7 linked regions of the Mus musculus genome follow. The protein of the gene in region 1 interacts with the protein of each later gene in a biochemical or structural test. Links are inferred from orthologs where the notes say so. Each region holds a gene or a part of one and is shown on either strand. Other genes may lie near its edges.

The links.
Region 2: the proteins of Snta1 (region 1) and Adra1d interact in a test that uses a peptide from one of them, tested with the Homo sapiens proteins (2 studies listed by BioGRID and IntAct). The link is inferred for Mus musculus from reciprocal best matches to the Homo sapiens genes SNTA1 and ADRA1D.
Region 3: the proteins of Snta1 (region 1) and Adrb1 interact in a test that uses a peptide from one of them, tested with the Homo sapiens proteins (2 studies listed by BioGRID and IntAct). The link is inferred for Mus musculus from reciprocal best matches to the Homo sapiens genes SNTA1 and ADRB1.
Region 4: of the proteins of Snta1 (region 1) and Mapk12, one has a biochemical effect on the other in vitro, tested with the Homo sapiens proteins (2 studies listed by BioGRID and IntAct, with this or other methods). The link is inferred for Mus musculus from reciprocal best matches to the Homo sapiens genes SNTA1 and MAPK12.
Region 5: the proteins of Snta1 (region 1) and Mas1 interact in a test that uses a peptide from one of them, tested with the Homo sapiens proteins (2 studies listed by BioGRID and IntAct). The link is inferred for Mus musculus from reciprocal best matches to the Homo sapiens genes SNTA1 and MAS1.
Region 6: the proteins of Snta1 (region 1) and Mcm7 interact in a test that uses a peptide from one of them, tested with the Homo sapiens proteins (2 studies listed by BioGRID and IntAct). The link is inferred for Mus musculus from reciprocal best matches to the Homo sapiens genes SNTA1 and MCM7.
Region 7: the proteins of Snta1 (region 1) and Kcnj4 interact in a test that uses a peptide from one of them, tested with the Homo sapiens proteins (2 studies listed by BioGRID and IntAct). The link is inferred for Mus musculus from reciprocal best matches to the Homo sapiens genes SNTA1 and KCNJ4.

Annotation. Positions count from the first base shown.
Region 1 is NC_000068.7:154,405,279-154,409,341, forward strand, and holds the start of Snta1 (alpha-1-syntrophin), read right to left. Parts: upstream 2,807-4,063; 5' UTR 2,694-2,806; coding exon 2,402-2,693; intron 1-2,401. UniProt on the Homo sapiens protein: Adapter protein that binds to and probably organizes the subcellular localization of a variety of membrane proteins. May link various receptors to the actin cytoskeleton and the extracellular matrix via the dystrophin glycoprotein complex.
Region 2 is NC_000068.7:131,559,669-131,563,952, forward strand, and holds the start of Adra1d (alpha-1D adrenergic receptor), read right to left. Parts: upstream 2,830-4,284; 5' UTR 2,501-2,829; coding exon 1,408-2,500; intron 1-1,407. UniProt on the Homo sapiens protein: This alpha-adrenergic receptor mediates its effect through the influx of extracellular calcium.
Region 3 is NC_000085.6:56,720,770-56,724,958, reverse strand, and holds the start of Adrb1 (beta-1 adrenergic receptor), read right to left. Parts: upstream 2,843-4,189; 5' UTR 2,588-2,842; coding exon 1,187-2,587; 3' UTR 1-1,186. UniProt on the Homo sapiens protein: Beta-adrenergic receptors mediate the catecholamine-induced activation of adenylate cyclase through the action of G proteins. This receptor binds epinephrine and norepinephrine with approximately equal affinity.
Region 4 is NC_000081.6:89,130,682-89,134,239, reverse strand, and holds part of Mapk12 (mitogen-activated protein kinase 12), read left to right. Parts: intron 1-1,089; coding exon 1,090-1,161; exon of another isoform or gene 1,162-1,259; coding exon 1,260-1,339; coding exon of another isoform or gene 1,340-1,408; coding exon 1,409-1,487; exon of another isoform or gene 1,488-1,571; coding exon 1,572-1,745; exon of another isoform or gene 1,746-3,021; coding exon 3,022-3,101; 3' UTR 3,102-3,558. UniProt on the Homo sapiens protein: Serine/threonine kinase which acts as an essential component of the MAP kinase signal transduction pathway.
Region 5 is NC_000083.6:12,865,288-12,869,315, forward strand, and holds the start of Mas1 (proto-oncogene Mas), read right to left. Parts: upstream 2,857-4,028; 5' UTR 2,812-2,856; intron 572-2,811; 5' UTR 457-571; intron 1-456. UniProt on the Homo sapiens protein: Receptor for angiotensin 1-7. Acts specifically as a functional antagonist of AGTR1 (angiotensin-2 type 1 receptor), although it up-regulates AGTR1 receptor levels.
Region 6 is NC_000071.6:138,169,035-138,173,186, forward strand, and holds the start of Mcm7 (DNA replication licensing factor MCM7), read right to left. Parts: upstream 2,850-4,152; 5' UTR 2,723-2,849; coding exon 2,692-2,722; intron 2,233-2,691; exon of another isoform or gene 1,776-2,232; intron 1,363-1,775; coding exon 1,283-1,362; intron 691-1,282; coding exon 526-690; intron 440-525; coding exon 315-439; intron 245-314; coding exon 64-244; intron 1-63. Other genes in the region: Ap4m1 (AP-4 complex subunit mu-1), read left to right, coding at 3,157-3,214, 3,315-3,445, 3,753-3,859, 3,938-4,034. UniProt on the Homo sapiens protein: Acts as a component of the MCM2-7 complex (MCM complex) which is the replicative helicase essential for 'once per cell cycle' DNA replication initiation and elongation in eukaryotic cells.
Region 7 is NC_000081.6:79,502,402-79,506,672, reverse strand, and holds the start of Kcnj4 (inward rectifier potassium channel 4), read left to right. Parts: upstream 1-1,431; 5' UTR 1,432-1,477; intron 1,478-2,733; exon of another isoform or gene 2,734-2,758; intron 2,759-4,271. UniProt on the Homo sapiens protein: Inward rectifier potassium channels are characterized by a greater tendency to allow potassium to flow into the cell rather than out of it.

The sequences.
Region 1 (4,063 bases):
TCCAACAGGCTAATTCTGAAACTCAGAGAGATCCACCTGCCTCTGCCTCTGCCTCTGGGGTGCTAAGACTAAAGACATTTGCCACCACACCCAGACCAAATGTCTCTTTAAAATAGTCAGCTGGGCTGGGCATAGTGGTACTTGCTTGTAATCTCAGCACGGGGGTGGCAAAAAAATAAAGGATTACTGCACATTCAAGACCAGCCCTTTACAGTACAGACTACACAGCAAGACACAGTCTCCAAAAGACTCAAGTCAAACCCTTGAATATCATATTCCTGGCCCATCCTCAAAGTACTGATTGGTGGCACAGAGCAAGAGGTCATTGTCTCAAGGTTATATAAGTCCGTGACATTTGAGCCTGAACACCTCTCCCAACCCCCACCCAGGCCTGACAGTTGTTCATGGCACTGCACAAGGCTTGAGGCCTAAGAGAAGAAGGTGTTTCTATTTATATCTAGCCTCCCCCACCTAAAAGTAGGGACTTCAGTTCCATTTGAAGCTATGACCGTTCCCAGCTGCCTCGCAGACTCAGCTGGACCCCAGAAAAGAAGTTACCATGGCAACAGGAGCCCAGTCTTCAATCCAGGAAGAATTGAATGAAACTGTTACTTTCCCTAAAGTCCCATAAAAATGTCCTTCCAACACCTGGAAGTACAGATTTGAGTCGTGTCTCTGTACCATGGCAAGACCCTGCTCCTCTGAGAGTCGGTTTGTCTGTCACAAAGCAGAACTTTCTAGAACTCTAGTTCCTTCCTGCTCTGACACACTAAGTGTATTTTAATTGGTCTGTTTCCTGGACCTATCATCGAGTTTGGGATGAAAGTTGGTGCCTGCTCTCTGTTTTTCCATTCCCCCTTTAGCTGACTAGGAACGGTATGATTCCCTGGACAGTCTTTAGGGCAATAGTAGCTCTATAATTAAGATTTAAACCCTGGTTCTGCCATTCACTGACTGAACCCCAGGGAAATTATTTTTCTCTTCTGAGTCTCAGTTCTCTTACCTGCAAAAATGGAGATTGAGCTCACCACTGATGATTAAACTCACCTTTCACCACTGATGGTCAAGATGGAATAGACCATGAGCTAAATGTAGTGGCCACAACACCTAACATTCGCCACCATGCTTATCCCCTAACCTGGGCCAAAGGATCTAAGCGAGCTATCACACAAGCACCTCCCAGGAGGCCTGGGAGTATATGAATACTTTCAATCTGACGGACAGAGGGACAGAAATGATGAGTCTAGCGCTGGCTATGAACATAGATTTTTTTTTCCATTTTTTATTAGGTATTTAGCTCATTTACATTTCCAATGCTATACCAAAAGTCCCCCATACCCACCCACCCCTGAACATAGATTTTTAAGCACCGCGTTTAGTTGCTTTGAGAGTCCCTCCTGGCCTCTTTTTCTCTCACACATGCCGGCAAGCCCTGCTCTCAGAAACATCCTCATTGTAAAGTTACCAAAACAGACTCAGAAATGGGAAGTGACTTGTGGAAGTTCACAGTTCTAGAACTCCAATGGCAGCCTAAATGAGTTAGGGAAGGAGTCAGTCGGTAAAGTGCTTGCTTGGCATCTATAAAGCTCTAGGCTTGATCCCCAGCACAACATAAACCTATTTTAGCAGCAGAGCCCAGTAATCCCAACACTCTGGAGGTGGAAATAGGAAGATTATATTCAGTGTTCTCCTCTGCTACATAGTGACCATGTGTCTAGCCTGGCATACATGAGATTGAGATCATGCCAAACACTTGTCAGTCTTGGAAACTAAGAATTCTCAGGAAGGAATGGCAACTCTGGGTTCACTCTCTCCATGTACCTGTTCATGTACAAATGGGCAGATGAGGAGACTCAACCCTAGCCATCAGGACTCCCAGCATAGGCAAACAGCCTCTGAAGCCCAAGATGTCTAGGTCCTTACTGGCCCCTTCTCTGCTAATGCCTGTGCCTCCTACCCATCTCTGGCACCCACATTGGGCTCCCAGACTCCAGGCCTTTACCAGTCTGCCTAGGTTGTGTCTCATGACTTCCACCTCCTTCTTGTTCTAGCAGTGTCCCAGGCCTCAAGTCCCTTTCCTTTCACCGCCGCCCCCGCCCCTGTCAGTCTTCCCGGGGACCCTCCTGCCCTTGGTACCCATAGCTACCATTTTGCTTCAAAACAGAACTAAGCACCAATGTCCTTGGTGCGCCCCCCCATCCTTCCACACTTGTGTCTTCTGAGTCACCTGAACTCCCCAAGCCCCTTCCGACCTTGGTGCTCTTCCCTCACTCTGTTCCTTCCTCCCCCGGAGACTCCTTTCCGCCCTAGACAGGTTTTCGTTTACCAGCCCCCATGACCCCTGAGCGCTCCGCAGCAGCACAGACAACACGACCCCGTGCCCTGGGTGCCCCACACCTACCCTTGATGCTGATGCCCAGCCCGCCGGCGTCGGCCTTGCGCACCGTCACGCGGCGCCGCTGGAGCAGCAGCGCTTCTGGCAGCTGTGGGGGCGCCGCGCCGGGCTCAGCGGCGCCGTTGAGCTGCGCGGGCTCCGGCTCCGGGCCGGGCTCGCCGTCGGCGGGACTCACGGTCAGCGCGTCCTCCGCCAGAGAGAGCAACACCCGCTGCCACCGCTCGCCACCCGCCCCGGAGCCCGCCCCGCAGCGCAGTTCCAGCAACCCGGTGCGCGGAGCGCGCCTGCCTGACGCCATCTTCGCCTCGAAGTCCCAGTACACTGCGCTCGCCCGGTCCCGCCGTACCCGGCCCGCTCCGACCCAGCGCCCAGGGCAGAGGGCGGCGGGGCAGCAGAGCCAGTCGCCACCCTACCCCGGCCTCGGGGGCGGAGCTTCGGAGGACAGGCTGTCGGGGGCGGGGCTAACGGGGGCGGGGCCCCGGGAGTGACTGAAGAGACGCTACCCGGTAAACTAAAGATGTGCAGCGGGATCACTTGGGAGTGGGTCAGAACCGCGTTCCCTCACGGCCACAGTTAGAGGAGGTTGAGGGTGGGGCGCTCTGCGGAACATAAAGGGGCCGGATTCTATGGATGGGGCAACACAAGGATCCAGTTCTGTGCGCCGTCGAGGATTGGACCGTAGCTCGTGGAAGCTGAAGGACAAGAAAAAGAATCAAGGATCCTGGGGTAGGGCTGCCTGTGTCAGGACCATAGGCTCCAGGGACTTTGCAGACAGAGTTAACTGGCAAACGAGCTAAGGAAGATGGTTTCTCACGTTTTGTGAGCCATGGGGAGAGGGTACCAGTAACAGTCTGTGGGCCTGACTCAGCTTAAGGGTGCAGCCTCTAAAGAGGTAAGCCTACCCACCCACCAGGAGGAGAAATGCCACTCCTTTGAGGGTTTGGTCCCATCACTTGAAGGTAGAGGCTGAAGGGTCTGCAAGTTTGAGTCCAGTCTAGGCTACATGAGACCCTGCCTTTAAAAAATAAAAATAAAAGTGAAAAGACATAAAGAGATAGAAGGCTCAGCGGTTAAGAGCATGGGCTGAAAAAAAAAAAAAAAAAAAAAAAAGCCGGGCGTGGTGGTACACGCCTTTAATCCCAGCACTTGGGAGGCAGAGGCAGGCGGATTTCTGAGTTTGAGGCCAGCCTGGTCTACAGAGTGAGTTTCGGGACAGCCAGGGCTACACAGAGAAACCCTGTCTCAAAAAACCAGAAGAGAGAGAGAGAAAGAGAGAGAGAGCATGGGCTGCTCTTACAGTGGAGCAGAGTAAAATTCACAGCATGCACATTGGGCAGCTCACAACCACTTGTAACTCCAGCTCCATGGAGATCTGACACCACTAGTTTCCTTGGGAACCTGTATTCACATTGCAAACAAGTACACCCATGCACACAAAAATAGTGAAAATAAATAAAATGACATATGATTTTATATATATATATATATATATATATATATATATATATATATGCAATACATGTATGTCACTTATTCTGTGTTTGCATGACACATGAGCTGGCTGATCTATGCTATCATTTGTGCCTTGGGTAAACCCTGCATAACTGAGACACATGAGTACTAAAAGCAGACCTCTCTTCTAACCTGGGTCTTTCTGGCTTCCAGGCT
Region 2 (4,284 bases), about 23 Mb from region 1:
TCCTCATATGCCAGGCACCGTCCTGGGTGCTGTTCTGGGTTCAGTGACCATACAGTTGAAAGGAAAAGCTGGAAAGCCAGTGAAGGTGTGAAACACAAGCCAAAGGGGCATATAAGTAGAGACCCCCAGGTTTGGAATTAGGTAAGAGGTTTGGGGCCAGTCCAGACTGAAATAATCAAAGGGAAGAACAGAGGTTGGTGACAGGCTTGGCCTGGAACTAACCCACTGAGGGTCAGGGCAGGACAGAGAGAGGCAGCCCTTCCTGGAATAGCCCCTTTCAGATGGGGAGGACATCTGTTGGGGATTCCTTCAGTTCATGCCCATGGTCCTACTGTAAATACTAAATAGTGACCTATTTCGGTATGGACAATAATAACCTTGAAGGCTACCTTCTGTAGACTATGGAAGGCAGTTTTTGGATTTTGTTCCCAAGTAGTATGAGAACATTCAGGGACTTGTAGAAGGGTCACACAACCGAGTTACGATATACAAAAGTCACTGTGGCTGCTGCTGCTGCTCCTGCTGGTGTGTGTGTGTGTGTGTGTGTAGGTGAGAGACTTGCAGTGGATCAGGAGGCAGGTCATTGTTTCTTCCCCTGACTTTGTCTCACAGGTTCAAGCAGTCAGATGGGGGAAAGGGAGGAGAGGCCCTGGTTGCACCAGGAGAGGTTGCAGTCATAAGCCTGAGACAGGCTGCCCCTTTCTCCTCTCTGAGCTGGTTCTGGCCCTTGGGCCCTGCTCCAGGACCTTCAGAGAGGCTCAGGGGGTGCGAAGAATCCCTTGAGAGCAGTTGTACCTGCCCCAGGACTGCAGGGCCCTTGTAAGGGAACTAGTTCACTCTGTAAATGACTATAAACAATAGTAATTGTCCACCTGACAGACTTCCTATCCTGTCCTTCCCACCCCCACAAGTCCCCTCCTCTAACCTCTTCCAGAGAAGATTTCAGAAGGGAAAGCCCACAGGGTTCTCCCAGATACCAGTGGGGCCAACTGAAATGGATGTCTATGGAGAACACAGCACTTCTGGCATCTGCTGAGCTACAAGGTGGCTGGCTGGCTTGGGTCTGCTGCCAGTGAATGCATGTGGGCTCACCCACAATCTATTTCCAGAGATGGGTATCTATGGGGATCACACACACTGATCACATCATACAGATTGATGTTTGCTCAGATTTCCAAGGAACTAAAGCAAGACCGAGGTTTGTAACATCTACAAAGGGTAAGAAAGAGTGAGAAGCCTGTTTAAGGGAAAACACATTAGTATCAAGAACCCCTCGGGCGCGCTCTCTCTCTCTCTAGTAAGAGAACAGGAAGTTGATAAACTTCCACAGTTAGGTTGTGGGTCATCTAAGCTTTCCAGGTAAGGACCGCCCAGAGGGGAAGGGTCTAAAGTGAGGGAATCACTCACCCAGAGGCAGGACGAAGAAAAAGGGGAACCAGCACAGGACGAAGACACCCACGACGATGGCTAGGGTCTTGGCAGCCTTTTTCTCGCGGGAAAACTTGAGCAGCCTTACGGAGAGCGAGCTGCGCAAGGTGTGCCCCTTGCTACTCTGTGTCCCTGGATTTCCTTTGGCGCTAGTGGCTGCGCCGCGACAGTGGATCCTCAGAACCACCTCAGAGGCCTTGCCCGGCTCCCTCTTGATGCCCGCCTCGAGGCTGCGCGTGGTGCTGCGCGCGACCACATACACGCGGCAGTACATGACCACGATCACTGCCATGGGGAGGTAGAAGGAGCATACGGAAGAGAAGATCGCATAGCCCACCTCCTCGGTGATGCCGCAGAAACGCTCATCCGGGGGCACTGGTTCCTTCCAACCTAGTAGCGGTCCCACAGATACCACCAAGGCCACCGCCCAGAGCAGAGCCAGAATGGCAGCGGCCTTGCGTTCTGTCATAATGGCTGGATACTTGAGCGAGTGGCGCACACCCACGTACCGGTCCACAGAGATGGTGCAGAGGCTAAGGATGGAGGCAGTGCAGCATAGCACGTCCACCGCGGCCCATACGTCGCAGAAGGTCCGGCCGAAGGCCCAGAAGCCTAGAACCTCCATAGTGGCTGAGAAGGGCAACACAGCTGCACTCAGTAGCAGGTCAGCCACTGCTAGGTTCACGATGAAATAGTTGGTGACCGTCTGCAAGTGGCGGTTGCAGGCCACGGAGAGGATGACGAGAAGGTTGCCCGCCACAGCGGTGAGGATGAAGGCGGCTAGGAAGACACCCACTCCCACGCCCTGAGCACTCACCACTAGCCCCCCGACGGCCGCCGAGCCATTCACCTCGCCGCTTGCCGCGGCCCCCGCTTCTGCCGTGGAGCTCTGGTTGTCCTCGCCGCTGCCGGTTCCCACCACAGCGCTACCGCCTGTGGCACCCGGCACGCCGCCCACCGCCGGACCCTCGGGGCCAACCGTGCCAGCTCCGCCGCCCGCGCCGGAGCCCCCAGTGCTACTGCTCGCCCGGGGTCCTTCGAAAGTGACGCTCAGGATGTCGCGGAAAGTCATCTCACGGCGCAGCCGTCGGGGCCCGAGCCCAGGCACAGGGCGAGCAAGTGGCGGGGAGGGAGCCCGCGGGCATCGCCGCAGCGCCCGAGCCAGCCCCGCGCGCCGGTCCCGTCGGTCCTGCCCAAGTTCCCGCGGCAGAGGGGCCGCAGGGGAGCGGTGCTGCAGGGAGAGCGGGGCGGAGGTCACCAGGCCGTGAAGGTCCCAACGGGAACGGGCTCTGGCGGTGGCTGCAGAGTCACAAGAAAACAAGGGCCGGGGCCGGCTCCCTGCTCCCTGCTCCCCTCTCCAAGCGTGTCCTGGCGAGCGGTGGCTCCTCCGGGAGCGTCAGTGCAGGCGGCGGCCTCTGCAGCGCAGGGGACTCTGCGCGGGGGCGGGACGGAGGAGGGGCGGCGGGGAGGGAGGAGGGGGCGGCCGGCGCGAGCCAGCGAAGGGGCTCCGCGCGTCCAGCGGCTGCGGGGGTCCTCGCCGGTGCTCACGACCGTCCTCTGCCCTAGCTGTCCCCTTATCCTCCTTTCCTCAGCTCTCCTGCACCCCGGCTTTTGCCCCAGCGCTCCTCGCTGCCTCCCTTCCTCTCTCTGGACTTGCGGTCACTCTCTGCTTGCCCTTGCCCTAGCGGAGCATACAAGGTGCGATTCCCCGGGACTCCGGGCTCCCGGCTTCTGCCGCCAGAGAGCAGCAAGAGCCCAGGATCTGTGGGTTCAGGGCTGGATGATTTAAAAAAAACGCTGCCACTTGAGAACGTCTGGATGCGGTTTGATGCCCCTCCTCTTTTTTCTAGGGCAACTGGCCAGCCCAAGATCTCAAAACCCACTATGGTGCGATGGTGGCATTGAGACAGCCCTGAAGGGGTCAAGATGCTTGGGCGCGGGTTGAAGATGGGCGTGACTGGCGTGAGACCAGATGGTGTGGTCACAGCCCTAGGACTTTGCCCGTACTCTGAATAATACCAACTTTGGCCCTGCAACTCTACTCTGCATCAGAAGTCAGAATAAATCTTCCTGTTGCTACTCGAAGTACTCGGGACTCCCTCTGGGCAGAAAAGGTCACGTTCTGGAGGGTGGGAAAGGTTACTGCAGGGTGCTTAACAGGGAGGGAGCAGAGTAGCTTGCCTCCACCATTCAGGCTCCGGCGTCTTGTGCCTCGGTTCCCCACATGTGAAAACGAGAGTAAGATTCACTGTGTTAGCAGCGCCACCAAAGTAGTGCCCATACTTCTCAGAAGAGTGGAGAATAGTGGGGTAAAGCCTGAACACGAAGAACAGAGGGGAGAGGGGACGGGGCTGTGCTAGGAAGCAGGGACGCAAGGGAAAGAGAAGGGAGGGAGGAGGACCAATAGGGAGAGACACAATGCCACTGGACCACCCCAGGCAACTGTACTTACATGGTGCACATAAACTGGCCTCCTCAGGCAACTGTACTTACATGGTGCACATAAACTCATGTAGGCACACACATGATGTGCGCGAGCACACACACACACAAGTGCAGGCACAAATACATCTTCAAAACACTACCTTTCATTCTTCATCATTTCTTCCTTTCCTTGACTTGGCTTATGGAAGCGAGGCCATAGAGATGCGGGAGGATGCTCTGAAAATGTCATGTGCATGTCCTTGGTGCCTGGTTTATTCCTTGTTGCAGATGGTGGGATGGTAGAAGCAATGAAAGCCTCAGTTGTGTTGTGACATGAGCTTTCTTCTTCTCCCATCCTGCAGACCATTCACTGAACTCGATCCACAAGAGCTGAGCCCTTGGCAGGCAAAGTATGACTTATACACACACTGC
Region 3 (4,189 bases), on another chromosome or scaffold:
TTTATAATATGGATACAGTTACAGTACCATGATAAGAGTATAAAAAGTAACTTCCCAATAAACCATCAACTCAATAACATAATAGACAAGAGAAACTGAGTTTGAATTTTATTTTAGCTTTTTAAAGATCTGCCCACCTCCCCATCCCAGTAAAAATATTTAATTTTTTTTGTGCAAGTTAACAACTTCTATGAATTTTACAATGCCTAACACTGTGCAAAATGGCCTTCCAACCACTGCCTTTTTTTTTTTTTTTTGCCGTCTTTGTTTTTAGCCACATGTGCAATAATCTCAACTGTTTCCTTTTTGTTCTGTCCTATCTTTAGTTGACAGAGTCACATGTCACAGAGAGAGACTCAGCGCCTGGTCCTTCCAACTAGTATTGATACATAAATAAGCTGTTTAATATAAACAAGTCTTTCTATCTTGCTGTGCAATATGCACAGAGTGAGGTAGAGGACCCACAGCAGGACCACCGAGGCGCGCAGGGCACAAGGTTTGCCCTCTAGGAGAAAGCAAGGTGAACCGTGCTCCACACATAGTTTCTCGAAACCAGATTTGTCTGTTTCGCATCCTTCTTTTCCCTTTGCTTTAAGAACAGGAGACACCAGTACTCCGGAATTAGTATGCAATTTCTTTAGAAAGCAAAGGGAAACACTTCCTGGCTAATTATCACCGGCCCCGCCCCCACACCAAACCTGAGCTGAATACTTAGGTTCCTAGGTGTGGAACCGGAAAGCCAGGTGATAGACTCCATCCTGCCCCCTCCCCTCCCCGCCTAGTTTCCACTCGGGTCCTTGCAGAAAGTGTCAAAACCCACCTAGGGGCGGGGGGGGGGGGGAATGCCTGAAGGTGCATTAAACACACGAAAGGCCGAACCTCAGAGAGAAAGGAACTCAAGACAAGCCAGTAAGCCATACTAAGCCACACTCTCCCAACTCCTCCTAAACTTTCCTTTTTGCGCAAACGCTCGGTCCGGGGCTTTTCTGTACGTCTCGGATGATTCGATAGATCTGTGGGCTTTGCATTCACCTGCTTTCGGTCTTGAGTAAACAGAGATCTCCTCTCTCCCCTGGGGAGCGGCTCAGGGGCGCCCAGGCGGGCTCTCTTCCTCTAGGGATGCAGAGCCCGTGTCCAGCCCGGGACTATGGGGAGCGGCGTCCGTGCGCCCAGAGAGCCTGGCTCTCTACACCTTGGACTCCGAGGAGAAGCCCTGGCGCCCCGGCTCGTCCAGGCTCGAATCGCTGTCCACAGTGGTTGTCCCGCCGTTGCAGCCGGTCCAGGGCTCCAGCAGGCGCGCCGGTGGGGTGGTCCCGGCGTCGTCGTCGTCGTCGTCCGAGGGAGCTCCGGGGGACGGCGGCGGCCCAGCTCTCGCCAGGCAGCCGGAGGCGCGCGGCCGGTCCCCGTGGGCTGCGCGGCGTCTGCAGGCGGCCCGGCGCGCGCAGCAGAGCAGGCGCTGGAAAGCCTTGCGGAAGTCGGGGCTGCGGCAGTAGATGATGGGGTTGAAGGCCGAGTTGGCGTAGCCCAGCCAGTTGAAGAAGACGAAGAGGCGATCCGGCACCAGGTCGCGGTGGAAAGCCTTCACCACGTTGGCCAGGAAGAAGGGCAGCCAGCAGAGCGTGAACACACCCATGATGATGCCCAGTGTCTTGAGCGCCTTCTGCTCGCGCAGAGCCACGAGGCGCGACGGCCGCCGCTTGCTGGAGCGCCCGTTGGCCAGCGAGTCTGCGGGGCGCGGTGGCCCAGGTGACGGCGAGGGCTCAGGCGAGGGCGGCCGGGCTGGGCCGCCGAGGAAGCGGCGCTCGCAGCTGTCGATCTTCTTTACCTGTTTTTGGGCCTCGCGGAACACCCGCAGGTACACGAAGGCCATGATGCACAGGGGCACGTAGAAGGAGACGACGGACGAGGCGATGGCGTAGGCCCTGTTGGTGACGAAATCGCAGCACTTGGGGTCGTTGTAGCAGCGGCGCGCTTCGTCGCTCTCGGCCCGCCACCAGTGCATGAGGATGGGCAGGAAGGACACCAACGCCGAGATGGCCCACACTGTGCACACGAGGGCCCGCGCTCGCGCGCGCGTCAGCAAACTCTGGTAGCGAAAGGGCGACGTGATGGCGAGGTAGCGGTCCAGGGCGATGACACACAGGGTCTCAATGCTGGCCGTCACACACAGCACATCTACCGAAGTCCAGAGCTCGCAGAAGAAGGAGCCGTACTCCCAGCGGCCCCACACCACGATGGTGGCCCCGAAAGGCACCACCAGCAATCCCATGACCAGATCAGCGCTGGCCAGGGACATGATGAAGAGGTTGGTGAGCGTCTGCAGCCGCGGGGTCTTGGCGATGGCCACGATCACCAGCACGTTACCCACCACGATGAGCAGAACGATGAGCGCCAGCAGTAGGCCCATACCCGCGGTCCACTGCTGCGACAGCGGCGCTGAGCCCTCGCTGGCTGGAGGCAGCAGCGAGGCGGGAGGCGACGCGAGCACCAGCAGCCGCGCCGCGGTGGCCGCACCGTCGGGCAGCGGCGCGGCGGACGACAGGTTGCAGGGTTCGGAGGCGCCCAGGGCGAGCGCCCCCGCGCCCATGCCGAGCTGCGGAGGCCGGGGGCGGGGGGTGTGGCGGGGCTGGGCCGCGCCTGGGGAGCACCCCAGGAGCCGGGGCTGCGGGGCCCGCGCGGGGAGGTCGCGGCCAGGTCAGGGCAGCCGCGGCTCGGGGCCGGAGGCATGGACGCCGGGCGCCTTCTCCTCCGTAGCCGAGCGCTGTCTCCGCCGCCGCCGCCGCCGCTGCTGCTGGAGCCGCTGTCGCTGCTGGAAGAGCCGCCGGGACCTCAGCATGTTTCTGAGCGCGCGGGGCCGGCGGCTCCAACACCCAGCACCTCCCCCCCCCCCTTCGCTGCCACCCCCCCAGCCAGCCCCCGGGGCCGCGCGTCAGGCTCCCGCAGCCAATCGCCGCCAAGGCACGCCCCCGACAATGGTGCCCCCACCCCCAACACCCAGCACCCCCTCCTACCCGCGATTGAAAGGCTCCAAAGATTGCGGGCGGACTACGCAGCCAGCACCCACGGGCTGCAGCGAGCGCGCCCTTTCCTGCTCAGGCTTCTTCCAGAGTCTAGTCTGCGGCGCCCCCTGCGGCGCCCCGCCGCCTCCTGTGCCCCCCGCCAACCAGTAGTCTCCGTTAACCTTAGCACCCAGCTCTCCTTTTGCCGCTCCCGCAAGAGCGCCCTTATTTCCCTTCGGCACCCCGTAGTTCCCTCGCCTCTAGTGCCCGGTTCCTGGTAGCTATAAGAGAACCTTACAGGCGTCTCGGAGACGCAGGAGTGCCTTGGACAGCCTATCTGCTGGGATTGGAGGAATTTAGCTGTGAGACTGGGGTTCTGCCATCAGGCAGCCTGGCTCTTCCCTGATCGCGAGGGGACCTGGCCAGCATGACAGCTTGGGGGAATAGGAAGTGGGTGTTAGTGATTAGAGGAAACTTTGCAGCCAGGCGGGTTGCTGGAGCAGGGTACGCATCTGTCAGAAAGGCTCTCTGGGCGCTGTTCTCGCGCGGAGCTGTGCTCTCTCCTTCAAGTGCAGTAGATGGGGAAAGGAAGGGAAGGTTTGTGGATGTAACTGCCAACACCGAGGACCAGTCGGATACACACACAGGCCCCAGTCCCAGCTAAAGAAAAGGATGAAAGAGTTCTGAATATAAAGGAGAAGTTTAGGGCAACATTCAGTCCAGGGTAAATGACGTCGCCCCACCCCCACGCCCCTCGTGGAAAGAACACGGAGAATGACGCTTCAGACTTTTTGACTCCAGTACCAACACCTTAACATCCGCATCTGTGCTCCGTTACCCATGGGATTTTGCAATCTGAGCTGAGCCAACACAAGGTGCTATCCCTTTTGGGTTGACGTCATGAACTGGGATTTCAGATTTCTTGGGAGGGTGGCTAGATTCTCAAAACTGTGGGATTAGCTTTGGGAAGATGAGGGAAGAAAATATATACATACTCAAGGCGATTAAATCTGAAAGCATTTAAAGTCATACCACATTTCCTCGCTTCACATTGTCGAGAGAATCCGAAACTAGAGTCTTTGGCTTCATTCCTGATGCGAACAGAGGATGGGACCTCGGGCTGAGGTCCTCTGATCTACCCCTGGGAATGCCTCTACCTCAGGCCGTAAAAAGGAAATCTGTAATTAAGT
Region 4 (3,558 bases), on another chromosome or scaffold:
CTCTCTCTCTCTCTCTTTCTTTCTTTCTTTCTTTCTTTCTCTCCTTCCTTCCTTCCTTCTTTTTGAGAAAGAATATATATGTGTATGTATGTATATGTATATTTGGTATGGTTTGGTTGCTTTGAAGACAGGGTCTTACTATATAGCTCTGGCTATTTCTGGAACTCTCTGTAGGCCAGGCTGGCCTCGAACTCACAGAGATCCACTTGCCTCTGCCTCCTTCCTTCCTTCCTTCCTTCCTTCCTTCCTTCCTTCCTTCCTTCCTTCCCCCCTCTCTTTCTTTTTACCTACCTTCCTTCCTTCCTTCCTTCCTTCCTTCCTTCCTTTCTTTCTTTTTTCCTGTATAGATCCTTTATAGTCCTGACTGGCCTGGAATTCAATGGGCAGACCAGACTGGCCTTGAATCCATAGAGATCTACCTGCTTCTGTCTGTTAAGAGCTGGGAATTAAAGGCTGTATTACCATGTCTGGCCCCTTCTTAATTTTTTTTTTTTCCGAGACAGGGTTTCTCTGTGTATCCCTGGCTGTCCTGGAACTCACTCTGTAGACCAGGCTGGCCTCGAACTCCGAAATCTGCCTGCCTCTGCCTCCCAAGTGCTGGGATCAAAGGCGTGCGCCACCACAGCCCGGCTCTTAATTTTTATAAGAACTTATTTTATGTATATATAAGTACGTATCTGCATGTATCTATACATGCAGATACATGTATCCATACACCACCTGTGTACTCGGTGCCTGCAGAGGCCAGAAGGCGGCATTGGATTCTCTAGGAGTGGAGTCACAGATGGCTGTGAGCTGTCATGCAGATGCTGGAAACCAAACCAAGGTTTCTGGAATAGCATCCCATGATGTTAACTGATTAGCCACCTCTAGCTCCCTTCATCTCTGGATAGGGAGCCATTTATAGGCACTACCTCTGGGAGGTCTGCCACCCTTCTCAATGACAGCCTCTGCTCTGTGCCTATGTGCACGTCTCCCCTTCATGTATACTTGTCTCCCACGTGTGGTCTCTTTGTGCATCCCCCTTTTCTTGGCCTTCACGGATATGAATGCCACCCTTGCATGTGGGGCACTGATGGGACTTCTCAGTGGACATTTGGTCCGTTGGCTGCATCATGGCGGAGATGATTACTGGGAAGATCCTGTTCAAAGGCAATGACCGTATCCTTCTATGTAGAGCACCCGTTGACTTCGGCCAAGATGTGGGTGCTGGGTGGGCCCCCCTCTGTCCCTGCATTGTATTCCTGACCTTGGTACAGACCTGGACCAGCTGAAGGAGATCATGAAGATCACAGGGACGCCCCCTCCTGAGTTTGTTCAGAAGCTACAGAGTGCAGAGGTCAGTGGGAGTGGGTGGTGGGCTGGACTTGGGCTTGGGGGCTGGCCTATCACCCTTTTTCCCTCACAGGCCAAGAACTACATGGAAGGCCTCCCTGAGTTAGAAAAGAAGGATTTTGCCTCTGTCCTGACCAACGCAAGCCCTCAGGGTACCGCTGGATGGGGTGAAGGTCTCAGGGTACTGGGTGAGTATGTCCCCTCCTGTGGCTTGGCCTGAATTGCTCTTCCCACAGCTGTGAATCTCCTGGAAAGGATGCTGGTGCTGGATGCGGAACAGCGGGTGACAGCAGCTGAGGCGTTAACCCATCCATACTTTGAGTCCCTTCGGGACACTGAGGATGAACCCAAGGCCCAGAAATATGACGACTCCTTTGATGATGTAGACCGCACCCTTGAGGAATGGAAGCGTGAGTGTGGGGGTTCCATACAATGTCTGGCTTTGGACCCTGTGTGCCCTGGGTGAGTGAGCCTCTGCCCCTGGGGTGCAGGTCAGATAAGAGCTTTGGGAGGTCAAAGGGCATTGTGGGGCAGTGCAACTCAACCAGGTTGACTTCTGGCTAGGGGGGAAGGCAGTGGTAAAGAGTGTCTTTTGAAGGAGCTCCGACCCACAAGGGCTGGCAGGTGATGGATGCTGAGAACTGTGGAGCAGGTGTGTGTGCTTTGTGCCCTTGGCTTACTAACTCCCTGGCCGTTCTCTCCCCAACCTCTATATTGCCTAGCATCCTCATGTCCAGACCACACTGGAGCTCTCTCTACCACTGCCGGTCCTTATGACTTTCTTCTTACACCTTTAAAATGTATCCTTACCTCTCCTTACTCCATTTAAAGACCTCTCCTGAAATAACTATATCTTATGTACTGCCCATGGAAGACAGTCTATTCCCATGCAGGCCAAAGGGCCCAGCTTTTCCCTCTCATCTCTAGCCCTAGATCCCTCCATAGCTCTGTGCCAAACCTCCAATTCTCTCTTTGAGAACTGGCCTCAGAGAACTCTCTCAGTTTGCCTACTGTCCCCTGAGCTGGGACTAGCCTCCCGTGTCCTTGCCAGACTGACAGGTCCAACCTGGGGAGCCAGGAGGTTTGAGGACAGGTCCATTGCGACATGCTATCCCTTGTCTTGTCTGCCTCAGACCCCAGGCCCTTGTTCTTGCACCCTGGTATGGGAAAGACTGGATGGGTAGAGGTTCTTGACTCATGTCCTGAAAGTCCTGGCAGGTGTTCTTCCCTTCTGTGTTGTCGTGTGCTTATGAGTTTGGTTCTGTGTGATGAAATCCTTCTGCTGCTCAACAAAATAACTCCCCTAACCACGGGCCACAAGATCCGTTCTGTGGTCTCCATCTACACACTGTGGCTGGGTGCTTTTGCTTTCACCATAGACCACAGGAGGCACACAACTGAGCCCTTGAGCAGGCTCACACACTTTCTTCTCACTTCCTTTTTTTTTTAATACAAGCCTCTCTCTCTTATTATTATTATTTTTTGAACACAACCCCCCCTTTTTTTCTTTTGAACATACACTTTCATCCCTTGTTTTCCTGGGGCAATCTAGCTTCACAGCAGTCTTCAGTGTTTTTAAGTGGATTGGCCCACTTAGGATTAGATTTAAGGCCCATGGGGTGCTGGCTTCCCCCCTTAGTTGAAAGCTGTCTAACTCTATCGTTTGCTTCTCTTCGCTTCCCGCAGGTGTGACTTACAAGGAAGTTCTCAGCTTCAAGCCTCCTAGGCAGCTAGGAGCCAGAGTTCCAAAGGAGACGGCTCTGTGACGACCTCTGGGTGGTTTGGGGGGTATCCAAAGGAGGTTGGCTCGGAGCTTCACGGCACCTTGGCTTCCCTTCTCTGGAAAAGGAATCCTGGTTAACACCCCGACAGTGCCTGGAGCTTGTATCCCAAGTCTTCCACCTGGACATGCTGTGTAGACCCTTGAATCATGAACCCTCCATCTCCAAACCTGTTCTTCGGCTTTCGAGTGCCCCAGATGACCCTGGAAGAACATCTAAGCTTTCTGTCCAAGACCCCTACCCAACATGGGACTAGCCTTTGAATTCTGGAGTTGTACATGAAATCAGTATTCGTGAAAAAGCTTCAGAGTGAGCAGAGCTTAGGAGACAAGTGCCAGACCTGAGCTCTGCTCGCTCTGGACAATGCCAAGGCCAACTCCTGAGACGGAATGAGACAGAGGTTTTGGGGACACTGACTCAGGGACATCATCTCTTCTGGAAG
Region 5 (4,028 bases), on another chromosome or scaffold:
CTGCTCAGGAACCACCTGTAAGTGAAAGGAGACATGATATGGAAGTACGCTCTCCCACCCAGGCTCAGGTACCAGGGCTTGGTTGCCAGTTTTGGGATCCTGCAGCTTCTGATTTCTTGAAAAGATTAATCCATTGATGGGGTCGCATTTGAGGGCATTATTGGAAAGGGATGGAAGCATTAGAAGGTTGGCTTGGTTGAAGGAGGTAGGGTACTGGCGCTGGATCCCTCCTCCTGCCCTTTCCTCTTCAGCCTTCTCTCCCTGCTCCTTGTCTATCACAAAGCAGACATCTGTTCTGCCTTATCGTGGCCCCAAAGCAACATAGCAAAAGACTATAGGCTGACTGAAACCCTGGCACCAGGCCCAAGTGGATAATCCCCTCCTTTCCATTGTTTATTCTGTCATGATATCTTATAGACAATGCTTTTCCTTTTGAGACTGGCTTTTTCCACTTACCATGGTGTCTTCTAGTTCCATCTATGTTATAACATGTGTCTAAATCTCTCCCCTTTTCAATCTTGCGTGGGAAAAAAAATCACTTTCTGTCGATTCATTCTTCTGGGAATAGATCCTGAATTGTTGGAGGATATATTTTATAAAGTATCTTTACTTTTAGGTGACATATAACAGAATGCACTCCTGATACCAACTTCTGTCTTAGGGTTTTACTGCTGTGAACAGACACCATGACCAAGGCAGCTCTCATAAGGACAACATTTAATTGGAGCTGGCTTACAGGTTCAGAGGTTCAGTCCATTATCATCAAGGTGGGAACATGGCAGCATCCAAGTAGGCATGGGGCAGGAGGAGCTGAGAGTTCTACATCTTCATCTGAAGGCTGCTAGAAGACTGGTTTCCAAGCAGCTAGGATGAGGTCTACACCCACAGTGACACACCTACTCTGGACCAAGTATATACAAACAATCATACACATGTAGAGTATAGTGACACTTTAACACATTATGTATATCACCTCAGATGTATCTTCATGCTGGAAACAAGAATTCTCTCTTAGCTGTTTGAGAATATTTCATTGATTGCTGCCACGGTTAATATTGTCGATTTCATGGACATAGAGTCAGTAAAGAGACAAGGCCTCTGAGCATGCTGGGACTTTTGTAGATTAGGTTACTTGAGGTGGGAATACCCAGTCTAAATGTAGGTAGTCCTATCCCATATGCTGGGATCCTGGGCTACATCGAAACAGAAATGAGAGCTGAGCCCCCAGGGTTCATCTTTCTTTGCTTCCTGGCAGCCAGTGCTTCATGTCCGGCCTCCTCACAGTCCTGTCCCACCATGATACACTGTATCCCCAAACTATAAGCCAAGATAAACCACTTCTCTTGCAAGATGCTTTTGTCAGAGCAACAAGCTCATGATAGTTAGGCTGCCATCTTTTCTCAGAGCTCTGCATTATAGAATTAGAGGAGACATGTTTGCTGATCAAGCCCAGAAATCTCTCTCTTCCCTCATGATTTTCCAGAGCCTATGGAATCAATACCTGCTAGACATCACCAAAAGAAACCCAGAAGGCACTCTGCATGTATTTTTGGTCCTGAACTTTACAAGTGCCGAGGGATCCGCAGGCAACTCAAATGGCCACCAACTTCTGTAGAAGGAGCACTTATTAAAGGAACGTTAGCTGGCTCACCAATCTCCAGGAGGCAAAAAATAACCCAGGCTGTTGAGTTAGGTTGCCAACAACTGCATGAGCTAAAAGCGTGCGGCAGATTTAGCTCCACCAAGACGTGGCTGCTGCCTCCGTGAAGCAGAGTGAGTCAGCGGCCCTGCCACCCCTGGTCCCCTGCATGGTGCACTGGCCTCCGTCTTGCCATTGACACCCCCGTGCTAAAGATGTTTTCTGTGTCCCTGCTCCTTATGAACAGAGTACTTGAGCAAAATGAAGACTGCCTGGACAGCTGTGCCAAGGTCAGAAGCCCATGGCTAGCATGTGGGTAGAGGGTCAAGAAGAGACTCAGTGGGGAACGCCCTTCCCCCTCCTGCCACTCCAGACACAGAAAAAGTGACCAAAGGAGAGAGCCACCTCAGCTGTTGGTAACTTCTCTAGCTCTGTCTGTAATGGTGAGCAATAATTATCTAAACTACTTATATAGAGGTTTTGGGGAGGGAGGTCCCTACCTGGAGCCTCCTCCCTATAGGCCTCCAGTAGCTTTCCCCATTTTGTTCCACTCACAAAATCTGGATGTCTTATGTCCTCACCAATACTTGCATACACACACACACATGCATATATATATATATATATATATATATATATATAGTGTGTGTGTATGTATTTATGTGTGTGTCTGTGTGTGTGCATGCGTTTGTGTGCATGTGTTTATGTGTATGCCTGAGTGTGTATGTGTGTATTTATGTGTGCCTGAGTGTGTGTATGTATGTATGTATGTATGTGTGAGTATGTGTGTATGTATGTGTGTATGTGTATGAGTGTGTGTGTATATGTGTGAGTGTGTGTTTGTGTAACAGACATCGTGTGTGTGTGTGAGTGTGTGTGTGTGTGTGAGTGTGTGTGTGTGTGTGAGTGTGTGTGTGTGTGAGTGTGTGTGTGAGTGTGTGAGTGTGTGAGTGTGTGTGTGTGTGTGTGTGTGTGTGTGTGTGTGTGTGTGTATGTAACAGCCATCCTGACGGGTGGAAAGAGACACTGTTTGATAACTTTCAAGGCCCTCCTCCGCCTCACTTAAGTCTGTGTTCCTGAGGAGTGTGTGGAAAGCCCTTAAGGAGGGAGGCTAGTTGCCAGAGGAGCTGCATTAGAAGATAGGGAGTTTCATAGAGGGAGGTAGAGCTTACCTGCCTTTGCCAGGGATGTAACCAGGTGCATGTGTGTGACAATCTAAAGGAATGCAGCTTGGAATGCTGGGTAAAAGACACAGAGATTCTAAAAGCTTCTGTCCCTGCCCACATTCCTCACTTGAGCATCCCCATTGGCTGCTCTGAGGTTTAGCCTTACAATCAATAGGTACATGTAAGTTAACGTATCTGTAAGTCTTCTAATCACACTAACAAACTTGAAGAGGGACCCTGGCTTATGGGTTGTCCAGAATGAGTCTTCAAGCTGGAGTACACGAACTCCAGGAGGACCATGTCAGAACTGAATTATGATTATATGTAATTATATGGCATCAGGAGAGTGTCTGCACAGAGCAAACAAATCAGTTGGTGGGGGACCACACACACACACACACACACACACACACCACACACATCTGCCACGAGAAGTGACTAGTTTCCCTTCTCCAGGACTCCTTCCCCCTGCTCCCCACCCCCACCCCCCACCATCAGCCCCAAACCTCCAGGCCTGTCTTAAAATAAACACCCTATGCTTAGTCCTCCGTGAGAGACCACTGATATTTTTACAGACCCGCCTTGGAAGTTCCCAGAACACTTCTTCCACTGGCAGTACTTTTAACTTTGAAATTCTGCATTAAACTCGGGCTGGGTGGTGAGGTCTGTCAGACCACACTTCTCAGATAACACAGCCCCAGCCTCAGGCAACAAGAGCCTCTGAGAACAGAGCTACTTCAAAACCACCTCAAAAAATAGCATCCCTCCCTGGCCCTTGGGAAAATGCACAGGACTCTGCCAGAAGGCATCGAGAAGCCCCAGTGGGTTCCTTATTTGCTGGTGCCATCAAGTGGTAGGGTTTTCTTTTCTTTTCTTTTTGTTTGTTTTTTTTTTTTTTTAAATAAATGTTGCTTGGCAAGCTGTGTGATAGTTTATGCTCAGGTAAGCTCATATCATGAAACACTTGGTTTGGAGACTGGGACACAACTCAGCAATAGAGTGCTTACAAGGCAAGCATGTTTGGACCTCAGGCACCCAGGTTAACTATCTCTAATCCTGGCACTGGGAAGTACAAAAGAGAGACGATCCCTGGGGCTGGACAAGAAATGGCATAGCAAAGCAAGATGTTTATCCCTCAACTAGAAGAGATCAATGACATTCCACACTCGTGGGCAAGAACAGAGGAGTGTACTTGTCACTGTGAAACTGAGGGTAAAGGAGGA
Region 6 (4,152 bases), on another chromosome or scaffold:
TGAAATATTATCAGTCAAAACGACCCGAGGTATCAAATCACCATCATAGAATTGTATACGTACTGGCTGGTAGGTCTCTGCCCCACACTGATCACAAGTGTATGTGGCCACCACCATCCTGGGCTTGACTTCAGACACACGAGTGACAATGCCACGCACAGTTAACAATTTCCCCACAGAGTCAGCTCGTACTTCCCGGATCACTCGAGGCTTGCTGCTACTTGGGCCTCGGAAATACAACTCACTAAAAGAGAAACATTTGTCAGCAAGTCCCCGGAGAGCAAGTCCCCGCCCTTTCCCACAGAGATACTCACAATCTTCGCATGAGTTCAGAAGGATACTGGTTTTGGGGGTTCCGGACTGCCCCAGGGTCTCTGCTTCGCTGCTCCATCATCAGCCGGTGTTCAATGTAAACATCTAAGACATCCTTATTCACCACCTAAAAGAAAGAAAAGGCGAGAGGCAGGACAGAGAAAGAAAACAGGGCACGAGGCAGACGAGCTCAGAAACAAACCAGCCACCTACCTCCTTCTCCTTGTACTCAGGCAAAAGCTCTTGCACAACATCACCAAACAGTCTTGAGTAGCGCTTGGCATTCTCGCAAATTGAGTCGACCAACTCAGGGTCATCTTCAGCTATGTCATCCAGGTCCACATACAGTGCCACTTGTTCCCGATGAGCCAGATGAACCTGAGGTAAAGAAGAGATGCTAACACTTTAGGGTCAAGTTCACCTCACCCACAAAAGCTCTTCTAAAGTCACTATCCTACCACTGGGGAAAGAACAGAATGCAGTACATCATGGTGGTAGATGTCTATAATCCCAGCACTTAGGATTCAGAAGGCAACAGAGTGAGGAGCTCAAAGCCAACCTCAGCTATGTAGCTACACAGCGTGTTCTTGATGGTGGTCTGAGCCACACAAAGACTACCCCTAAAAACTAAGAGCTAGGAATGGATGAGGTGGCTCAGCAGGTTAGACATAGCCATCTAGCCAGATGATCTGAATTTGCTCTCTAGAACACACATGGTGGGAGAACAGACTTCCACAAATTGTCCTTTTGACCTCTACACATGCTATGGCATGCCCCTGTGAGCACAAACACATAGGAATAAACACGACTAAAACATCTAAGAAAACCCTTAAGCTAAAAACAAAACAAAAACCCAACTTTGTATAAAAACAATCAGAATCAAGTCATTCACTGATAGCCAGACTTGAGATAACCTTATACAAGTTCTTAACACGCCACGCCACTCCCCAGAACCAATCCTGAGACTTACCAACTGGGTCCCATACTTGAACTGCTTCTTTCCAAGCTCATTCTCGTAATAAAACTCTTGGAGGAACTTCTTAACTTTTTCTACAAATATAAAATAAAAACCAAGTCTTTGCAGTGAGGTGTAAAGACCACTGCTGCCAAGGACTAGAGTTCAATCCCTAGGGCCCACCCACAGGTTGGAAGAGAACAGAGTCCTGCGGGTGTCCAGCACTATGATATGCCCGTGCGATCTCACACACACAATAATGTAACAAAATAATGTAAAAATAAATAAAATAAACAATCAACTTTCCTTTTAGATTCTTTATTTCAAACTCTTAACAGAAACCTAAGAAACCCACTTTCACTTAAGACGAAACCTATGAACTAGTTAGTTAAATGAACATTGAAAACAAATCGACCAAGTTCTCCCCAAAGTAGGCAGTGTTCCTTTTCACAAGTCCGTTTTTACACAGAGAAGAATATAGGTCTTCGGGCAGCTACAAGAGTCTTACCCAACCTTCCCAAGAGAATTCCACACTCTGTCTTAATTAGGAATCTCAGTTTCTTCAATTCTCTCAGCTCGCTCCCAATCGACTTAAGGTCCTCGGCTCTCGCTCTACCAGTACAACTCTTTTTCTTAGGCTCCCGCCAGGACGTCCGCCACTAGGCCTCCTCTGCACTCATGCCCGGCTCCCGCCACTGCTTCCGCTCTTAGTAAACAAAGAAGCACATGGGCCCAGATTCCAGCCGCCTCACAGCCCAGGATTCCTCCGCCCGAGACGGGTGGCCGAGCGGGGATTGGCCAGAACGCCAAAGGGCCATTCGGGTCCACCACACTGCCACCTTTCGCCACCGGGCGCTTAGCCTCCCAATTCTAGGCACGCCCCTACCTACTGCAGCTATCTCCGAGGCCACCGCGCGGAAGGACACTGTTTACACACGACAGTCCCAAGATCGGGTAGCGCCACTTCCGCCCGCCTCTACTTCCGCTTGGAGGGCGGCCGAAAACAACCAATCGCGGCGCGTAGCGGTCTGGCAAGCCCCGCCTCTGGACTTCGGCCAGTCTCCAGTGGACGCGGGAATTCGCTAGCGCCCCGAGCAGCAGAGGCTGGCCCAGTAACCTAGTCCCTTGGGTCACGTATTGAATGCATTGAACCAAGTCACCCGGTCTCTACCGAGCGCGCCCCTCCTTTGTGGACTCCACTGGGTTCTCTCCATAACACAAACACATCACCTTTTCCAAGGAGGATTGCTTCCTCCATCCTTGACGCCCACTGCTTATTGCAGGCGCAGTTCGCCTGTCCTCGGAGTCACAGATCCCGGCTCACTCCCCCTCCCCCGCCCGACCCCAAGACTCCAGCACCCCTCAACAGGTGCAGGTAGAAGTTTCCCTCCGAGGACGCCGCCCCCAGCCCTATAGATCTTCACCTTTTTCGATCGCGTAGTCCTTAAGCGCCATCGCTGCCGGGGACGGTGTGGCAGGACTTGAAGGGCTCAAAAATCTCTCTCTGGGGAAGCAGAAAACGAACGCGCGGCGGGACGTAGCCGGCCAACCGAAATTGGCGCGAAACGTCGTCACCCATGTGACCCGTGCGGCTGAGAACCCGCCAATCAGATAGGGGGTTCCCAACTGCTGCCAGCCCCTAACTTTAACCAATCAATGGACGAGTCTAGATTGAATGACAAGGGGCTTGAGGGCGGGCCGTTGAAAGATTGCCAGATCCTGGCGGGTTGGACACCCTGTTTCCCGCGGTTCGAAATTAATGCTCGCGAGTGTGTGTGTGGGAGGAGTGTTTCTTAAAGCGCCAGCCTCCGTGCGGCCTTTTGTTCCGCGTCCACAAGGCGGGGTGGGTTCAACTTTCACCGTGTTCTCGTCTATCCTCCAGAACCGCCATGATTTCCCAGTTCTTCATTCTGTCTTCCAAGGGGGATCCGCTCATCTATAAAGACTGTATCCTTTGACCCGGGAGACGGGGTAGGGTAGCTGGGTAGAAATCGAATCCAGATCAGTCTGTGTCGCCTGTTCCTTAACTATCTTTCCACCTGGCTAGTCCGCGGGGACAGTGGTGGTCGTGATGTGGCAGAGCTCTTCTACCGGAAGCTGACGGGACTGCCTGGAGGCGAGTCCCCGGTTGTCATGGTAACTACTGTGGTTGGTGTGCAGGGCCTTAGAACTGTGGAGGTGGGTGAGTGCCTCCTCCCTGTCAAGGGCAGCTTGGTAGGAAGCTTGGGGGCGGGGGTGTGTGTGTGGGGAGGATTTGTTTATAAATGTTTTGAGTACTAACAAGAAGCCAGTTACAGAGCCATGCACCCTATTTTTTGACTATCAACAACTTTGAGAGGTAGATACTACCTTTCCACGTTAGGCGGCCAGGTCTTAGATCTGGGGCATCGCCCATCACTAGTAGACCTCAGGGTGCCATCTTGCAGGTTTCCTTACTACAATTCTGGTCTTTTCTTAATGGCCTCTGTCCTCAACTCTGCCTCAGTATCACGGTGATCGTCATTTTATTCACATCAGACACAGTGGGCTCTATTTGGTGGCCACAACCTTAGAAAACGTCTCTCCTTTCAGCCTTCTGGAGCTGCTTTCCCGGTGAGTAGAGTTGGGACAGGCACTTAAGAAGGAGGGCGTGTGAGGTTTATTCACACATAATTTGCTGTGTTTCCTTAGGCTAGCCACTCTCTTGGGTGACTACTGTGGCTCACTCAATGAGGGAACCATCTCACGCAATGTGGCGCTTGTCTACGAACTCCTGGATGAAGTGCTGGTAAAGCCCAAAAACTTTGGTCTTTTTAAGTTTATTTATTCACGTGTGTGTGTGTGTGTGTGTGTGTATTTGCCCACATCACTGCACATGTGTGGAGATCAGGTATCTTCTACTTGTT
Region 7 (4,271 bases), on another chromosome or scaffold:
CCCAGCGCCCACATGTCACTTCACAGCTGCCTATAATTCTAGTTGCACGGAACCTGACAACTTCTTCTGGCTTTCACAGGCTCCTGCCCACATGTAGCACACATGCACGCACATGGGCATCTGTACATGCATGGTGCACATACGGACACACACAGGCATCTGCACACATAGACATAAATAAAAAAGGAAAGACAGATTAGTAAGATGAGAAGAAAACAGGGACTAGGGTTTGTTGACTTCCACTCCACTGGGTGGCCTTTTGCGAACTTTTGGACGTCTGTGGGTCCTCAGTTTCTCCTTTGTGAACTGAAGCCTTACTGATAGACTGTGCCACTATTAGGGTTCTTCCAAAAGAACGACCTCTGTCTCCTGAAGTGGGGGTGCTTAGGGCCCTTAGCTGCTAGAGCTTCGGGAGAGGATGCAGACCACCCAGGAGAGGGTCAGGGCCACCGGGACCCCCACAGGACTGGTTCCCACCTACCCTCCTCTGGGCTCGGAGAACCCTCCCCACCTGTCCCCAGGGGCCTCGCAAATCCGGGAGTGGATCCTCCTTGGAACGGATCCTCCAGTAGGAGTGCGGCGGGGCGAGGAGGAAAACCCGGGCAGGATCCGCGCGAGAACCGGACGGCGCAGCCTTCCCCCCCCCCCCCCCCCCGTCCCCGACCCCCGACTCCTGCTGGAGTCCTGGGTCCCGGGCGCTAGTGGCCTGCCCGCGTGGGTCAGACGCACCAGGAGGGCCGGGGTGGGGTCCGCCTGGGGCTGGCAGCCGGGGCGCGCTGCCTCCGCAGCGGGGCGCGGGTCACGTGTGAGGAGGGGCGAAAGTCTCCGAAGCGGGGCGCGTGCTGCGAGTTGGGAGTTCTCGGCGCGCCGCGGGCGGCGGGAGCTCAGGCTCCCGGGCGAGCCGGGGACGCGGCGGGGACCGGGTCCCAGACGGAGGGGGCGGCGGCGGGAGTGGGAGGGACGCAGACAGAGAAGGACACAGCCGGCCGAGGAGGCGGCGCGGGGCGAGGCTGAGCCCGGGCAGGGGCCGGAGCGCGGCGACCAGGTGCCACGGCCCCGCGGGAGGAGAGGCGGCACCGGGGCACAGCGGCGGGGACCTTGTGGCAGGCGCGAGGTGGCCACAGAGCCAGGAGACCCCAGAACTGAACAACGAGAGGGTCGTGGGGCTGTGGGTAACAGCGGGCAGTGGGGCGCCTTGGGCCCCTGGACCCCTCGACCCGAGCCCGGGCTCCACGATGCTGCCGCCCGGGCGGCGCCCAGCTCTTGACGCGGGGCAACGCTGAAAGTTACGCAGGGAGCGGCGCGGGACAGCGCGGAGACCCCGAGACCCACAGAGGCCGCCTGGGTCAGTGGCGACATCGCGGGCAGGCGGCGCCCGCGTCCCAAGCCCGGCGCCCCGGACTCCGCCCGCCGGACTGCGCCGGGGGATGTAGCGGACACTCGCCGCCCAGACCCTCCTCGGACCTTACGCCCCGGGGTAAGCTCGGGCTCGTCCATCGCGAGTACTCTTCGTCCGTCTGTCCGTCCCAATGTCTGTCTAGCTCAGAGAGTTGTTTGTCCTGCCGCTCTGGCCATACCCGTCCTGCACTTATCCATCAGACCCGATTCCTGAAGGGTCCCAGTGTGGACCTGTGACTTCCCCCAAGCTGGCGCGCTCCGTTTATTTGGCCATCAGAGCGTCTCCTGTGGGTTGTGGCTGGCAATAGAAGGGAGATGGATGACAGAGATTTGACCTCCTGCCCTGGCGACGGCCCTTCTCTGCCCCCGCCCACCTCCATGCCAGGAGCTGCGAGGCAGGTGACTTGCAGCAAGGTGGGAAGGGGGCGTCTCAGCTTCCCACCACCCACCTGCAGTCTCCGTGAATGGTTCGGAGTATGACAGAAATCTCCCTTCTGCTGTGTTAAGCACCTGCCTTGTGCCAGATAACCCCAGGGTAGGTGAGCCGGTAGTAGCTGAAGGAATGAGGTAACAGTAAATGGAGCATTTCGGGGATTAGAGTGGTGGAAACTAAGGCTGTAGAGAGAGGGGCAAAGATGCTTTTTCTTCTGCAAAGGGGAAACAGCAAAGAGTCATGCCGTGGGCTCTAAGCAAGGAGAACTTCACCACCACCTGCAGAATGCCCACTAACCAGGTCAGCCTACTACTGCCCCCCCCTCCCCCACAAACTATGCAAGGGGACTCAGACTTCAGGGCAGGGAGCTGTAGACCAGCTTGGCAGGCAGCAGTGCCCTCTAGGCACCACACAGGGTGGCTGGGCTGCCCTAACAGGGAGGGCCTCAAGAGGGGGAGAGCTCCAAGTAGTAGGCTGAAGGACCTAGGGACCAGACGAGGTGTCTAGCCCTGGACAGAGAAGGGCTGGATCCAGGGATCCAATATTCACTCCACCCCCACTCCCATCCATCCCTGCACCTTGCAGGACTGCTAGGAGTCCAGAGCCATGTGTAGCCTTGACTTGGCTTCTGAGGGGAGCAAGTGGAGAAACAGGACAGTTAGGGCAAGTGGAGCGGGAGGACTGAGCCTGGAACATTCTGCTCTGCCCTCCTATGGAAGAAGGGTCTCTTTCTGAAGTTTTCCATACTGGGCATCAAGGCTCGTATATCCCTTGGTCCAGGCTTCAGAAATGAGACCAGCTAGTTGAGACACTGGGCAAGTTATGCTCCTTGAGCCTCTGCCAGCACATCTGTGGAATGGGGACACCAGACCTGCCCCACTGACCTCCAATGCAGGGCCTTTGAGCTCTGTGAGCAGAAGACTCTTGGTAGGCTGAAGAGAGGGGTGGGCAGATGGGGGTGGGGGTAAGAACTCAGTTTACTTTGAGGGAAAATAAGTAGTTACCAGTGGCAAGAATATGGCTGGAAATGCAGACTGACAGTAATGGAGGTGTCTAGGCATAAGTGGGGGGACCTGGGACTTGGGCGCTGTACCTAATGTTACGCTTAAAGAAACATCTTCCTAGGGGAAAAAAAATAGAGGTGACTGGCCAGACAGAAATGTCCGCGGGCTCCCACTGGGGTGACCTTGGGCAGTTAGCTTGACTTCTCTGAGTCACAGTTTGTACCAGTGGAGAATGGGACTTCATGTCATTGTCACTGGCTTGCATACAGTGTCAGGGCCCTGGGAAAAGCTTGCAGAGCCAAACCATGCAGGTTCTAAAGAGACATTTGTGGATCGGAGGACAAAGTCACTCTAGGATGCTGTGGGAAGATTTTGGGGCTTAGGATGAGAGGGAGGGGGAGGAGGAACTGTGTGGGCTTACACAGGGCGGGCTGGTTCTTAATGTGGATCTGGGGGAGGCGGGGGCGAGTGCTGAGGGGGGTGTGAGGAGGAGGGGGCCCCCTCTGCGGGGACCACTGAGTCACGAGGACATGTAAGCGACATGACAACCAGCAACGTGGTAACCAGGAAACAAGCAATGGGAACGAAGCTGGAGCAGTGTGTCGTGGTGGGGGAGGGCAGACTGGCAGCACCCAGGCTTGGAGGGTCCGTGGTGGGTTAGGCTGGTCGGCCTGCAGGGGGTGCGGGCCAAATAGGCTGGGTAAGAACGGAAGTGTAAGAAGTGACAGGAAGCACCCAGGGGCTCAGCGGGGCAGGGGGCTTCTCTGGTCCCTCCCCGCTCTTCTTTTCCTCCACATCCCCACTCTTCATGCCTCTCCCCCTAGGATGCCAAATTTGGCTCACGCAATCTGTCGTCTCTCTTCTGAGATTGGCACGGGGATGGAAGCCGAGTGCATTACATCAGCGCCTGATCCCCCTGCACTGGGGGAGGGAGGGGAAGAACCGAAGACCGACCAGGCCAGGCTGGGATTGGAAGGGCAGCAGCCAGACTTCAACTTCCCTGCTTGTCTCCTGTTTGCTCTTCTTACCCTAATCTTAGATGTAGGGGGAGTTTGGGAAAGGCCATGACGAACTTAGAGGTGGGACCAGGACTCCAACTTTGGGGAGGTTCCATGACTTGGGCAGGAACCAGTCAAGCCCTGTTGCTGTCTCCCTGGCTAATTGGGACCAAAGAGTTCTCAGGACTTGGTGTGTCATTGCCTGGCCATGTGACCTTGGGCAGATTCCCCTTGCGTAGTAGAGTCTACATGTGTATAGTGAATGTTGGCCGCTTTGTAGTATTGGTGACTCCCCTGAGAGGAGCCACGTTGGCTCTCCAGGGCCCCGGGATGGATCCTGTGACCTTGAACAGCAACTTCTCTCCTTATGCCTCCATCTCCTCACCTGTGAAATGGGTATGTTCAAGGTCACTACCTGGACCCTGGACATGAGTTGTG